Lepisosteus oculatus: one gene and its partner. Each later gene encodes a partner of the first gene's protein in a complex. Links are inferred from orthologs where the notes say so. Each region holds a gene or a part of one and is shown in the gene's direction. Other genes may lie near its edges.

Evidence for each region. The genes of interacting proteins can lie anywhere in the genome.
Region 2: the proteins of rab11fip1a (region 1) and ras-related protein Rab-14 are in contact, whole or in part, in a crystal structure (PDB 4D0G), measured with the Homo sapiens proteins. The link is inferred for Lepisosteus oculatus from reciprocal best matches to the Homo sapiens genes RAB11FIP1 and RAB14. Residues at the interface, in NP_001002814.2 of Homo sapiens: Glu1252, Ile1255, Asp1256, Asn1257, Leu1259, Val1260, Met1263, Pro1267, Asn1268, Leu1270, Arg1271, Ile1272; in NP_057406.2 of Homo sapiens: Leu28, His29, Ile44, Gly45, Val46, Glu47, Phe48, Gly49, Trp65, Arg72, Arg74, Ala75, Val76, Ser79, Tyr80.

What each region holds. Positions count from the first base shown.
Region 1 is NC_090697.1:72,846,591-72,853,745, reverse strand, and holds the start of rab11fip1a (rab11 family-interacting protein 1), read left to right. Parts: upstream 1-4,065; 5' UTR 4,066-4,201; intron 4,202-4,207; exon of another isoform or gene 4,208-4,508; coding exon of another isoform or gene 4,509-4,648; intron 4,649-5,013; 5' UTR 5,014-5,210; coding exon 5,211-5,560; intron 5,561-7,155. UniProt on the Homo sapiens protein: A Rab11 effector protein involved in the endosomal recycling process. Also involved in controlling membrane trafficking along the phagocytic pathway and in phagocytosis. Interaction with RAB14 may function in the process of neurite formation.
Region 2 is NC_090719.1:14,695,025-14,701,973, reverse strand, and holds the start of ras-related protein Rab-14, read left to right. Parts: upstream 1-3,938; 5' UTR 3,939-4,105; intron 4,106-4,147; exon of another isoform or gene 4,148-4,219; intron 4,220-4,262; exon of another isoform or gene 4,263-4,635; intron 4,636-6,949.

The sequences.
Region 1 (7,155 bases):
GAGATTTTTATTCCTGCTTCAAGGGTCTGGATTAAATCGAAATTTCAACTTAATCACAAATTCTAGGTGCCAATTGATGGGTGCTTTCTGTTAGGCAGTCTCCTGCCTGCATCTACTCAATGGACAACCTCCAGAAAGTTTCAGGATTTAAATTTGACACTGGCAGATGTCTCCAAGATTGTACAGAATATTGGCCAAGGTCTCAGTTACATCATTGATCCAGCAACAAATATTTAAAGTTCTACCAAGATGTTTTACATTGGATGATATATAATACAGCCTTGATCCAGTTTTTCAGTATCTGCAGCCCCCTGGCTCTGAGTTTCAAACCCTCGATTTAAAGTATTTAAAAATTAACAACTATAGAAGGAAGAGTACACGTCATTATAATGGAGGATTCAGGTTTCATTTAATTTGTTTTACTTCAGCTCTCATTTCATTAAAGCCACAGAGTTATGTTATTGAACTGCTTTATGAGCTCTTAACTGAAAACTCAACAAAAAAAAGGAAAATTTAACCGACCATAAAATTGAAAAATCTATGGTTTTGTAGTTCTCATTTCTGGGTGAACAGGGGGAGATTTCAAGATTAAAGTGCGTATTTATATTTTTTACCTGAAGACAATTCATTATGTATATTAATAATAAAGCATTTTTATATAATATATTTCTTCTAGAATCCGGACAGTGCCTTATAAAAGATTTGCTTTGTCGGTTGTTTATTTCAAAATAAAGATTTTTTTAAGCTATGTATGCATTGTGTCACTGAGAAACTTCCTCCCTCCCATCTTTTGTTTATTCTAAATGTTTTTTAAAAAGCAATACTTGAAAATGAGCACAGATTCTTGAATTCCACAACATAAGGCGGGCTAGAATGTTAGGTTGTATGTTTTGAACAATTCGCTCTTTCCCCGCTATCAGTGGGAACCTCCCCCTGCTGTAAACAGACGAAACAGCTCCTAATAAGGACCTGCTCTTAGCAGCAGCAGCGCTCAAAGCCTCTACCGTCTGTCCGTGGCACCACAGATCCTAGACGTTTAATGTTCCATATAAATTAAATCAAGATAAGCCCGTAATGTCAGGACAGCTAGTGTGAGGGTCCCAGCGTAGCGCCAACATCTGTTGAGCTATAGGACCAACCCCACAGACCCCCTTCTGTCACAGACAGAAGTCAAGACCACAATTATCATTTAGTAAGACAAAAGACCAAATTAATAAGGAGCCTCCTTATTTTAAGAACACTGGACAAACCAGAAAATAAAATGTCAAAACTCATCCACATCCGGGCACGTCCAGAACAGAATACAAAACGGGCCCACGGCGCCCCCTAGGAAAGCATCCCATTGAAATTGTGAAGTGTTTGCTGCGCTATGTAGGAAATGTACTTTTCGATGTATCGATACAATGCAATTAATCGTGTATGTACTGATTTCCTCATTTAGAGAAGGGCGCAATTAGTAATTTGATTCTTGACAAGACCGTATCAATTAAAGATGAACGACACTGCAATTAAAACCGAAATACCGTTTTAATCAAAGTTTAGAACCACCCCCCCCCATCGGAATTAAAAACTCACTGAACGTTAATTTTGTATTAAAAGCTAAGCATAGCCTGGAAGGGCGTAGATGTACGTATGTGAGTGCTGGGGAATAATACTACGGCGAAAGTTTCACCTTTTGGGATTTTGTGCAGTGCTTGTAGGTCCGGCTAGATTTTTAATTGAAAGGTCAGTCACAATTGTATAACCACTTACATCCTGAAACACATATTTTTTTTTTTACCCTGGCCCCATTGAGTTGCATAAAAGCGTGAAAAAAGGCACATAATTTGTCAATTGTATTTGCCTTTCGCGGTAACGACCACTTTTTCACCATTTAAGGCCGTATATAGAATCTGACACGAAGGACAGAAGATGGCGCTGGTGTCTCAAAATTGCGGGCAGTCGGTTCCCTTCATGATGTGTGGTTCACCGTGACTAAAAAAATCTGAAATCTTATTTTAGTGGTTTTATTTGCTGTGCTTTTTTGTTGTAGACAAAAAAAAGGCAATAGTAAAAAAAAGTTAAGAAAGCGTGTTATTTTTAGCAAGATCGTGCGGCTTCGTCTGGGGGTGATGGCGTTTCTTGAATTTACGATGGTAACGTATTGACCAAGCGACTTTATGTGAATGGAGAGCAGTTATTCCCTGACTCGATCTTTCTGCTGGCCGGGTCACAAAAAAAAAAAGAATAAGCTCAGGACTCATTATGTTCGTCCTAAATAAAAACTACAGCATTTCACAGTCACAGGACAGTGTGTCTTTCCACCTTAATAGGAGCCGCTCGACTGTCCAGTGAGAGCGCTTGTCTTTCAGAAATGATAAATTGCAATTTAATCTCTTACTACTTTTTAAATGCTTGTCGTTTTATTTATTTAACCACGTAAATCGAATGAGAGCAAGCAATAATAACTTGGACAGCATCCATGGTTTCAGCAGAAAAGTTACCGGGACAAATTGAGTGCGCTAATGGTCAAGGTGTGCCGACAGCTCTGTGCTCCCGTATCTTGAACCCAGGATACTCCATAAGGATAGCCTTCATCCATCCCTGTACCTTGAACAGTCACTCACAGACTCTCTCACTCCCTTTGGAAATTTCAGTGGAATGTATAGTACACAATACCTAGGACTAAATCTGAGACTTTTGGTGCCTATGTCTTTTCCGTCGCTGTTCCTTTGTTATTTAATATTTCCTCTAACTCCTGCAGAGACAAATTCTTTGACTGTTTCAAATCTAAACTCAAAACTCACGTTTTTACTAGGACCTATGTCTGATTGCCCTACATTCTATTATATCCTGTATTTAATTCTATTATTATAGATATTATACGAAACCAAAATTAACTAATAATAAATCAGGTGGGCAGCTGCGTCAGCATGCGTAGGCTGCAAAGGGACAATAGGTTTATTCCATGCTGAAAAGAGAAGAAAGAAAACGCAATGTTTCGGCCGTGGAGTCTTCTTCAGGTGTGAGAGAGACAGGGCAGTAGGCAAAGGTAGTGTAGTGGGAGAACAAAGGCTGGGAGGGAGCAGGGGACAGAAATCAAGAGGTGTGAAGTCAGGATAGGTGTCGAGAGGTGTGAAATGAAACTTCCAATGAATGGAGAAAATGTAGTAGAATAGTAGTCTGTCGTTAAGAGAAGGCGGAAGGTGTGATCCTAGCTGCAGGATAAGTTTGGTTTCGGTGGTCTTTCTGATGTATGAGTTCGGAAAACCGTCTTTGAGAACACAGACGGAGGGATTAGAGTGGTCGTGGCCATCAGAGGTGAAATGAGAAACAATGGGCTTGGAGAGATCTTTAATCTTCACAGCCCTGACGTGTTCTCTGAAGCGGTCTCCGAGTCTCCTTCCTGTTTCTCCAATGTAGATGGCTGGACATTTACTGCAAGAGATACAGTAAAAAAAGTTGCTGGAGGTACAAGATGCCATCTGGGTGATCCGGAATTGTCCTGAGGGGCCTTGAATGAGTGTGGTGTTGGATGTGTACTTGCAGGTGATACAGCGAGCTCTGTTCACCTGAACTACTATACTGGAATGTTAGGGCCCACACAGACCGCAGAGTGAGCGCCCCCTACTGCCCCCACTAACACCTCTTTCAGTAGCAACCTTAGTTTTTCCACCTTTAGTTTTTTGCTGCTTGAATACAGCGATTAAATCGACAATACGCCAACTCATTTTACAAACAAGCCTGTTTCCTAAGCAGATACGCGTCGAAATGAATGGTTGACATATTTCTCTATATTTTCCTAACAGTATTTATGATTATATAATTTCAGTGCAGATTATAATTATAGACTTACATCCACGCTTTACCTGTACCGTAATGCTTGTCATCGTGTTTAATCTCTTTAACAATTATGTTTGTGCAAACTTATCACTTTAGTTTTTTTTTACACTCAGTTGCATTTCTTTAAACCCGAATGGAACTTCGCTTTTAAACACGCAGGTCATTGTGTTACAATGACGTAATGCCTGTTGCCGAGCAATTTGATCCCTGATCTTTACCTGCTCCGGACAATAGCAACCTGTTGTAGAGCATTTCCACCAATCACAGAAGGAAAAGGTTTGATTGATCGGTAATTGGCCAATAAGCAACTTCGTATTGGGCAGATGGACGGGAGAAGGTCGAGGTGGTGCGTGATGAAGGAGGAAGTTTAGTATTGACTGTGAGTTAATAAAACAAGAGGTAGCACTCGAATTACTGAGACTAAGGCGAAATGCGATAACTGAAAGGAGCCGGTATTCTAAAAATGTCAATATTTTTTTTTAAAGCCGGAATGAAAAGACCTGCTTTCTAATGAAATGTTGTGGGCAGCGAATGGTAACTATCGATGAAACGACTCTCGTTGAATAAGCTGTACACATGGTAACTTTAGCAGCTGTGGACTGATGACCTGAGTTTGCTTAAGGTAGCAGTTTCGGTAAAAAAAAACCCGTTTAATTAATAAATCCTACTTACAAGAACGAACGTGGATGCGAAGCGGGTTACAGGCGGCAGTTGCGGAGGCTGGACATATATCGTGTAGCAACTGTTATTACCACGAATGTGTTTATGACGAGTATAGACTTTCCCAGGAAAAGAAAAAGACGACCCCGGATAATTTCCTTCGAAGGTAATGCTGTTTGTTAGGAAAAAAAGTTGACAAAAAGAAATTTCGGGCTTTGAAATTCGCTTATAGCAACGCGCTAGTGAAAAGTCCTTTGGGGCTTTACACGACAAAACGCAGAAAATAGACGAGTCGGTCGGTGCGGTACTGAACAAGTGCGCGGTGTGGCGTACGTTAAAAATATTCAAAGGTGCGAGGGCGACAAAATATTCAACATATTTTTAGATAGTGACTTTTACGTAAACTGCTCCAAGGAGGAGTGTTTTATGATAAGGTCACGTCATTGGTGTCGCTGAGGAATTTCAAGATTAAGCATTCCAGTTCGTGGTGTTTTCAAAACACTACAGCTAACGTTATCGCATTTTTTTAAGGAGTGGCAAAGGGTTGTGAAACATCCCAAGCCGTGCCAACTACAGACTTCGTTTGCGACTCGAGACAGAGAGAGGACCAGCTCGCTTTGGCACGGACACGGCGATACCTAGAAACTCGGGACAGTTCCCTTTGAAGTGCCCTCCGTTCAGCCTCTTCTAGCGACAGGTTTCGTTCGCCCGACCCCCGGACACGGGCCATGTCTCTGGCGGAGCAGAGCCAGCAGTGGTACCCCACCACCGTGCAGGTGACGGTGCTGCAGGCCAGGAACCTCAAAGCCAAGGGCAAGAATGGCACCAACGACGCCTACGCCATTATCCAGCTGGCCAAGGAGAAGTACTCCACCTCGGTGGTGGAGAAATCGCCGATGCCGGTGTGGAAGGAGGAAGCCACCTTCGACTTGCCCATGTTCCACCAGGGCAACGAGCAGCGATGCACCCTGTACATCGTCGTCATGCACCGGGCTCTGGTGGGGCTGGACCAGTTCCTGGGGCAGGCGGTCATCAACCTCGTGGAGCTGCAGGAGAACAAAAACCGCAACAGGACTGAGTAAGTCTCCAGACTGTTTCGGTTCAGGTGTTCCTGCTGGTCTAGCCAGCCTAAAGAAGTGTCTCCAGAGTTCTTGGATCAAATCTGAAACTCTTGCCCTCTTCTCCATGCCGACAAGTGCATCTTGCTGGGGAGTTGAACTCTGTGCTTTCAGAACATGGAAAACAGCCTGATTTTTTTCTCCCTCTCCTTTCTGTTGTCTGCCAAGCCCGTGCAAAAAGTTGCAATCTGTCCGGTATAGAAATCCTTTTTACCTTTGTTCTCACAGCTGGTCTCTCTTCACATTTCTAAGAACTTTAACTGCTGTAGTTTTTTTTTTTTTTGCCGGTTACTTGCCTTAAGTCCTGAAGTGTCCCTCCTCACTTTCTGGGAAATAGAAATGTGTAAAGTGAAGAAGAGATGTCTGTTCCCCTACGGCGAAAGAACTTTCTTTTGTATCCCAAAAGAAAAGCAAGTTGTACTTATTTTGAGAACTCATGAGTAAAAGGAATTTGTTAGCCCTTTTCGGAATACATAAGTAAAAGATTTATTTAATTGATTTAAAGACTGTAAATTGAGGAATTGGCTTGATTTCAGTTTTCCAACTGAAAGTAGTATGTACCTGTTAGATTGAAACTGGCTGTCCACAAGTATGTTATTTATATAAAGGAACTTAAACTTTTTCATTTACTAGTTGTTCGTGAAGGTAAATTGTATAATGCAAAAATAGAGTTCTTTAAGAATTTGTTTTTATGCCGCAATACGTGAGAGGATATATATTATGTTAGCGTTCATAATCCTTGCTGTTTTGCTTGTCTTTTCTTCAATTGTAGTATGCACAGTACTGTGGTGTGCCTGTGGAATCCATGAAGCGTTTGAGCAGTTCTAAGAAATGTTCCTTGCATATTCCTAAACTGTGCCATCAGACATTAGCCTTCCTTCCAAGAAAGGTCATCTTCAGTGGGAGTGGGTGGAAGAGCTATGAATATTTGAAAAGGCAAATATAAACAGAGGGGAGGTCCATTTTTATTGTGTTAATTACCAGTAATTGGAAAAGGGCCCCCACCTCTTTTAATCTGATTATAGTTTCGACAGTACTCGGCGGCATGACAGTGACTTGACAAGCTACAGAAGCTAGAGTCGTCCCCTAGTGTGAAAACTTCCTTATCGCTCACTGTTGTTTGATTGTTTTCTACACCCATTACTCCTGCTTTATTTGCATTGTAAAGTTTTTAAACCTTTTTCCGCCCAGTCCTGCTTTGGGGGATGAACCCATGACAATGCCAAAGAAACGACTTGGGGACTAGCATTAAATGTTAAAGCGTTTTGCTTTTGGTGCTGGTGATTAGCTACTCCCACGAAGATATTGTGAGAGAATGGCAGCAGCTAGCCAGCCATGTTGTTGAAGCCAATACCCTGATATCAACCTTATTTTTCACTAAATGGCTGGCTGAGATCCTGTGATCAATTAATTGCTTTGTACCAAAATGGCTAGATGTTCTAAGTGGCCTCCTTTCATTCTCATGTTTTTAAGCTCGGATGTGGACTTTGCTTCAAAACATCAGAACTGCTGGAGAAAATGGTGTTTGTCTCTGCAGATGGTGGGGAGTGGTGTG
Region 2 (6,949 bases), on another chromosome or scaffold:
GACTGATCCAGTCATTAAGGCTCACATCCGGATTTTTCACTACATCCACCCTTATCAAGTACTGACAAGTAAAGGCAGAAGTCTTCCAATGTCATAGAGGCGTCTTCTTTCAAGTTATCTTTTTTTTTCCACAGCTTCCGAAGTTTTATTCTGAAGTTGTTGGGGGTTTTTTTCATCACACCACAGTGGCTTTTCAAACAGATCTTGCACACTTTGCGAAATAGAGGCATTTTGTTGCGATAACTGTTTACAAAAAAAAAAGATTAAATGATTCAATCTAGGCGAACAAAAGGCCAGACCGGTATAAGAAGCACTCCCATGTTGTGCTGATATACTGTATATGATGATGAAGACAAAATTACCATGACTGTTATTTCAAAACCTGCCGGTGGTCCACAAGTTAGAAAAGGATGATTAAAGGGGTTTATAAGGAGGTCATGACTGGTAAAGGCCGGGGGAAATTTGGCCGGGACAGCGGGGTAACACCCCTACTCTTTTCGAGAAACGCCCCGGGAGTTTCAATAACCACAGAGAGTCAAGATGACTTATGACTCATCCGAGAGACGGCTCCTTTTTACAGTATAGTGTCCCCATCACTATACTGGGGCATTAGGACTCACACAGACCCATACTGGTCCCACTAACCTTTCTTCCAGCAGCAGCCCCAGCTTTCCCAGGAGTCTCCCCTCCAGGTACCGACCAGGCTCACACTGCTGGGCTCCAGTGGGCTGCCAGCCGGGAGCTGCAGGCAGACAGATGGATGGATGACCCAAGATGGGACCCCTGTCAGCAGAGGAGAGCGCTGCCCTGCAGCCTGCTTTCGTACTACAGAAGATGGGAGAAGTTCTGGCCTGATGAGTCTTTAGGCTTAATTATGGACCAAGCACACAAAATGGCCTGACAGGGATGTGAAACACTGACCATCATTTCACGTGAGGCCAGATCAGTGACTCTCCTTTTTCAGAATAGAAAGGACAGATGTGTTGCAGATGTTAGAAGCACTCTAGACACCTCAGATATGTTTTGGTGACCTCATGGTCTTTGGAAGGTAGGAGAAAACTAGAGTACCTGGTGGAAACCTGAGCCAACAGTGGGAAGCACATGCAAGCTTCCCACAGAAGGAGCCCCAGGGCAGAATCGAACCCGGATCCCGAGGGCTGCAGGCAGCAGCAGCTCCCAGCCTCACGGTGAATAAAGGGACCACATCTGAATCAGTTCACAACACTGAACTGAACTCAATCCGTCTTTCGGATGAGACGCAAAACCGAGGTCCTGACTCTCTGTGGTCATTAAAAATCCCAGGGCGTTTCTCGAAAAGAGTAGGGGCGTAACCCCGGCGTCCTGGCCCAAAATATCCCCCTGGCCTTTACCAGTCATGGCCTCCTAATAATCCCCATCTATGAACTGGCATCTTCCAGGAGGGGCTGCACACTGGTGGGGGTGGAGGGGATCCCCATTACCTGTAAAGCGCTTTGAATGGAGTGTCCAGAAAAGCGCTATATAAGTGTAAGCATTATTATTATTATTAATAATAATAATGCACCTCGCTGAGAAAAACAGGAGTATTGCAGATCAATATTCTGTCCGGTTATGTGACGTCCTGCAAAGGGTGTATCCCCCTTGCCAACGTTGCCTGCCGGGATAGGCTCCCGATCCCTCGCATCCTGTATCGGACAAAGCCGTTGGAAAATGAATGGATAATATGAAGCCTCCATATCAACGATAAAGGGGGATGCCAAATAGTTTTATAGCTTGTAATGTATCGCCCTCTGGCGGCTGTCTTCCGAACTACCCAGCCCTGGGTCTCCGACTATGTAATCCCTCCACCCCGGAAGTGACGTCTCCATGACCCCGTAAGGTGAAGACGTGTAACCGAATCGCCCAATCAGGTCCTGCCACCCTTTCAAGCCCCGCCCACCTTCTCCCGCGAGACCGTCTCTGTCTTGTCAACAGCAGCTTTGCCAGCAACGTTACCCGTGGAGAAGGGCGACGGTTTTCTTCCCGGACACATTGAGCTGCTATTATAATGATAATAATTATCATCATCATCATAATTCGCCTTTTTAGGAGCAGGAGGACCCAAGCTATCACAGAACAGGAGGCCAAGCAGTCAGAGGACATGATCACGGAGGGTCTCAGGGAAACAGACTGCAAGTATTTACAGTACGGTGTCCCCGTCACTATACTGGGGCATTAGGACCCACACAGACCGCAGGGTGAGCGCCCCCCACTGGCCCCACTAACACCTCTTCCAGCAGCAGCCTTAGTGTTTCCCAGGAGTCTCCCCTCCAGGTACTGGCCAGACTCACACCTGCTGAGCCACAGTGAGCTGCCAGCTGCCAGACACAAACCTGCTAACTGGACTGACCTTGGGGATAAACTCGGACTGAGGCTGCAGGCCAGCATGCCTCTGGGCTGTGGGGGGGGAACTGGAGCAGACCCACACAAACCAGCGAGGAACATGCAAACTCCACACAGACAGCACCCCGGGAACTGAACCCAGGGCTGTGAGGCTGCAGTGCTCAACGCTGAGCTTCACAGGGCGGTGCGACAGGCTGCAGCAGTGGAGCAGAAGGAGCTTGTATCGGGGAAACTCCCCAGCCAGCCGCGGGGGAGAGCAGAAATGTGCAGCCTGCTTGTTGTCCGTTAGCAGGGCTGCCTCGCCGAGGTCCACACCCCCAGCTCTGATCAGCTGTGATGTCTCTGACCACTTCCTCCTGGCTCCTGCGTCCCAGGCACCCTGCAGGAGCCAGATCTGCATCCTTACCCGGACGAGACCCTGATCCAGAGCAGACGCTGCAATCTTTTGAGTCACTTCAGAAAAACAATCACATCCTCTGAAAAAGAGGCCCTTTCTCACATTACCATCATGTCTGGAAACTAGATTTATGACTGAGAGGCGTACTATAAAATCAGTTGTTCATACGTGATACCACAGTGTCAGTGTTTATAAACTGGTCAACAAGGTGAAATATTATTATCACTGCCATGTATTTTACTGAAATGTACAACAAAGGTCTCACCTCTTTAATAGAGTTCCTGTGATATTATCTAGTAACTAACTCACGTTATTTATTTAATTTACATGTTCATCACTTACAAAAAACCTCTGAAGGTGAAAGCCACAATAATAATACAAGTCCAGTCCTTGTACTGTCGTTTATTTTGATAAAGATAGGGTTTAATAGTAGAAATACAGTCGAAAGAAAATACAACGCAAACAAGAGTACATACAACATATCAATAACATCGTCCGTTTGACAAAACAGAGTCAAGAGCCAGTAAGGTGCGCACAGTTTTCATTTCACGTTTTTACATTTCCAAAAAGTCCGCCAACACGCCTTCACACCTGTTGTTGGCGCCGTCCTGTAAAGCCCTCAAAGGCGCTATAGAAAATAAAGCTGTGTCGTTAGAGAGATAAGAGATAGATAAGAGTGGATTGATCCCGTAGGGAAACGCTGTATCATCAGAGAGATAGAGATAGATAAGAGTTGATTGATCCCGTAGGGAAACTGATTCATATTATTATTATTACTTTGAATAGTCCGGGACACAGGACTCTCCCCTCTGTAGGAGCACAGTGCCGTGTCGGTGTCACCGTGAAGCTGAGTGCACACCGTGCACGGCGATACTTCCGCAGTGCTGCCGACGGGACGGGACGCCCGTGGCCGGTGGCCCGTGGCCCGTGGCCTCGCGCCTCGCGCCTCGCGCGGGCGCCGGGCGCGCGCCGCTGCCCTTTGTCCCCCCAGGCCCATTGTGTGTGACGGAGGAAACCCTGTGCAGCGCGGGCCGCCATCTTGGATCGGCAGACTCCTCAGCCCAGGATCGCCCTGCGGATCCCTTCACAGCGCCGGAGCGAGTCGACGCAGCCGCCCTCGGAATCACGGTAAGCGGGCCGGGCCGGACCTCCGGGCCGCCCCGCCGGCGGCTGTCGGAGCCGGGCGGTCGCCTCTGGATGAGAATCTCTCCCTTGTCGTCGGGGGGGGGAGAGAAAGGCAGGCAGGAAGGAGGAGGGGGTGACTACACCCAGATCGCGAATATTATCCGGCTCGGCAAGCCCGTCCGCTCCATTCCTGCACGGCGGCGGGTTCTGCACGCCGGGAAGGTGACTGTCGACGTTTCGTGTCGGTTTTTCCCCCCTCTTGTTTTCGCTCGTTTTGCGGGGCTGCGGGCGGCGCTGGCCGGTGGCTTTTGTTCGGTGTCTCTCTATCCGGAAGAGGTCGGTCTCATGATATTTTGTTTGCCGTTTGAATAAGAGGCGAGGAATACCGGGGAGGGGAGGGGGGGTGTTGAAATATCGAGACTATCGCTTCTCGGTGCCCATCGCACAGGGACTGTCGCTCGTCCGCTGCGTGGCGGCACGTTTGGGGGTCCTGTCCCCCCCAGTGCTGTGTCAGGGGGCTGGAGCGGCGACACCGGTGCTGATGGAGGAGGCGGGCCGGGCCTAGCAGCTCTCGCCGGGCAGCAGCACAACCCCGGCCCGGCTGGGAGGGGTTTAAAGTTTAAACGGTGACAGCGTCGGGTGTAATGAAGTGACAACAACACCGGCCGGGTCGCCGGCCAGATATCCGTCCCCCCCCTCCCTTCTGCAAACGCGATCTGAATTCAAGCGGTGCTGCTGTCACGGCGCTGGAGGTGCAGAGCATGTTTTTGATTTGTCATGCGAGAGATATGTGGGGTGGGGGTGTGCTGTCCGTGTCGCTTCATGAGCCTCTCCTGCGGTCTTATCAATGCGTGCTTGTGAAATTGTGGCGAAGACGGCGATTTCTTAGGCTTGCAGGGCATTGCGCTGCCCCTCAGTCCCGGTGAGCTGAGACAGCAGGCCCGGGTCGGTTAAGGTATACGGTGTTGACAGGCGTAGCCGAGCTGCAAATAAAATGGACAATGACGACTGTTCAAAAGAAGCGTTTTACCCCCCTTCTGCCGCATTTCTATTGCAAGACGCTGCATGCGAGGGTCTCTTAGGCCTCGGCTGTGTTGTCGTCTCTGTAAAGCCGGTTTTCAATGGTCCGTACTCAGAAGACCAATTTACACAGCTCTGACGCGTTCTTGGCCACCTTTTTGAATGGTTTTCCAAAAGACAGCCCAGGACGAGACGGGTGTAGAAAGAGTGTTATCCCTGGTTTCTTGGATTTTTCTGGATCTCTGTTCGAAATCGATTGATTCAGTTTTTCAGCTGGGGGATCTCTAAGCAGGATCGGGTGTGTTCTTTCGTGCCTGAAGACAGCCCGCTAGAGTTTCGGCTCTCGGATGCTCAGTGTGCCGCAGATTGTGATCCGAATGTACCACCGAGAAGGGTTAGATCTGAAAACACGTTTTACAAGGATTTCCAGCTACTTGGTTTTGCTTCTGTCGGCATCCAGGCCCCTGTGAGGTCACCCGGATTGTGTATCCTGGAGCAGACTACAGTTTCTGCCTGATTCTGAAAGATGGGGGGAGTTTTATTATGATAAAGGTGAAAAACCTAGGAATGAGGGTGACAAAATCTGAAGAATCGTGTGCACGAATCCCCTGCTGTTCGCCCTGAAGGACCTCAGTGTTTTACTCTTGCACACACAGGAGGGGGTGTATCCCCCAGGTCAGGTGGAGAAGTGAGAGCTCTTGAGGATCTGCCGTGGGGAAACTGAAAACATAGCCACCAGGTTTTCACTTGAGGGGTGTCGGTTGGCTTCGTTCCGTGTGAGCATGTCAGCCGCTGTTTGGTGGAGATGTTGCAGATAATGCACTGCTGAGTCATGATTTGTAAAAAAAAAACGATATTTTAAGCCCCTGCCGTTTTCGCAATTTCCTGACCTCATTTCACGTGAAGTCATTTAAAGGAGCTCAGGGGTGCCTGGTGAGTGTCAGGTAGTAGGCCACAGAGGGAAGGAGTGTGTTCAGCTGCAGGGAGAGAGATGGTGAGGTCTCGCTCTTGTCAGGGAGAGGAAGTGCTGAACTGGCAGGAGCTCAAGGCAGGTTGGTCACATGCTAGCATTCTCTATGCTTGGGAGATTCTTATGGCATTTCTCACAGGAAGTCTTCTCCTTTTGCTTGTCGGCAGTGACTCAGTGAGGAACGGATTCTTTGCGTGTGCCGTGTATGGCACTCCAGACGCGTTGAAGTACTTTGTTTGAAAGAGAGAGGTCGGCTAACGTCTTAAAACTGCAGCGATCTTTCTTCTTCTAGTTTGCTTTGTGTGTGTGTGGGCAAAGCACAGGCCCAAATCGGCAGCCTCAAAAAAAAAAAAAGGGAGCTGAATGATTTGGTATAGTGCACTTTGCACCAGCTTAGCCCAGAACACTCTCGCGGTCCTTAATTCGTCCGTCATGAAAGATGCAGGGGGCATCCCAGGATGACCTCGTTATTTTTTTTTTAAAACTTCATTTTGATTGTGTTTTCCCATCTTGCCATGCACAAGCCCATCCACAGAGAACCGGGTTACAAAGGCTTCTCAAATATTCTTGCTTGTGGATGCCACACCTCGGGTTCTTGTATGTGTACATTGTTACCATAGATATGACAAGATCACCATTCCACCCAATTATATTACAACTGGGGAAAAAAAACAGGCAGGCATGTAAAATGTACAGGTGAGCTTAGTGACCTTGCCGTGACCTAGGGGAGTCTTAATTTCAGGTACTTTTACCTTTCTGTTAACTTGGGAGGGGGTTGTACAATTTCCTACCTCTGGTTAACTTTTACACATTTTTTTTTAATCAGGACTTAATTCACTGTGATGCCCAGATGTAATTCTGGAAAACTCTGTGTGCTGTCTGTGTGGAGTTTGTATGTTCACACGAGTTTCCTCTGGCCACTCCAGTGTCCTCCCGCAGTCCAGAGGCACTGTTTGTCTGTTTACCTTCCAGGGTTAACTGTATACTGTGCCTGTTGCGTGCCAGAAGAGGATCTAGCTCCCCCGCGATCCTGAATTGCATGAAGCAGTTAGAAAATGGATGGTGCTGTAATCTCG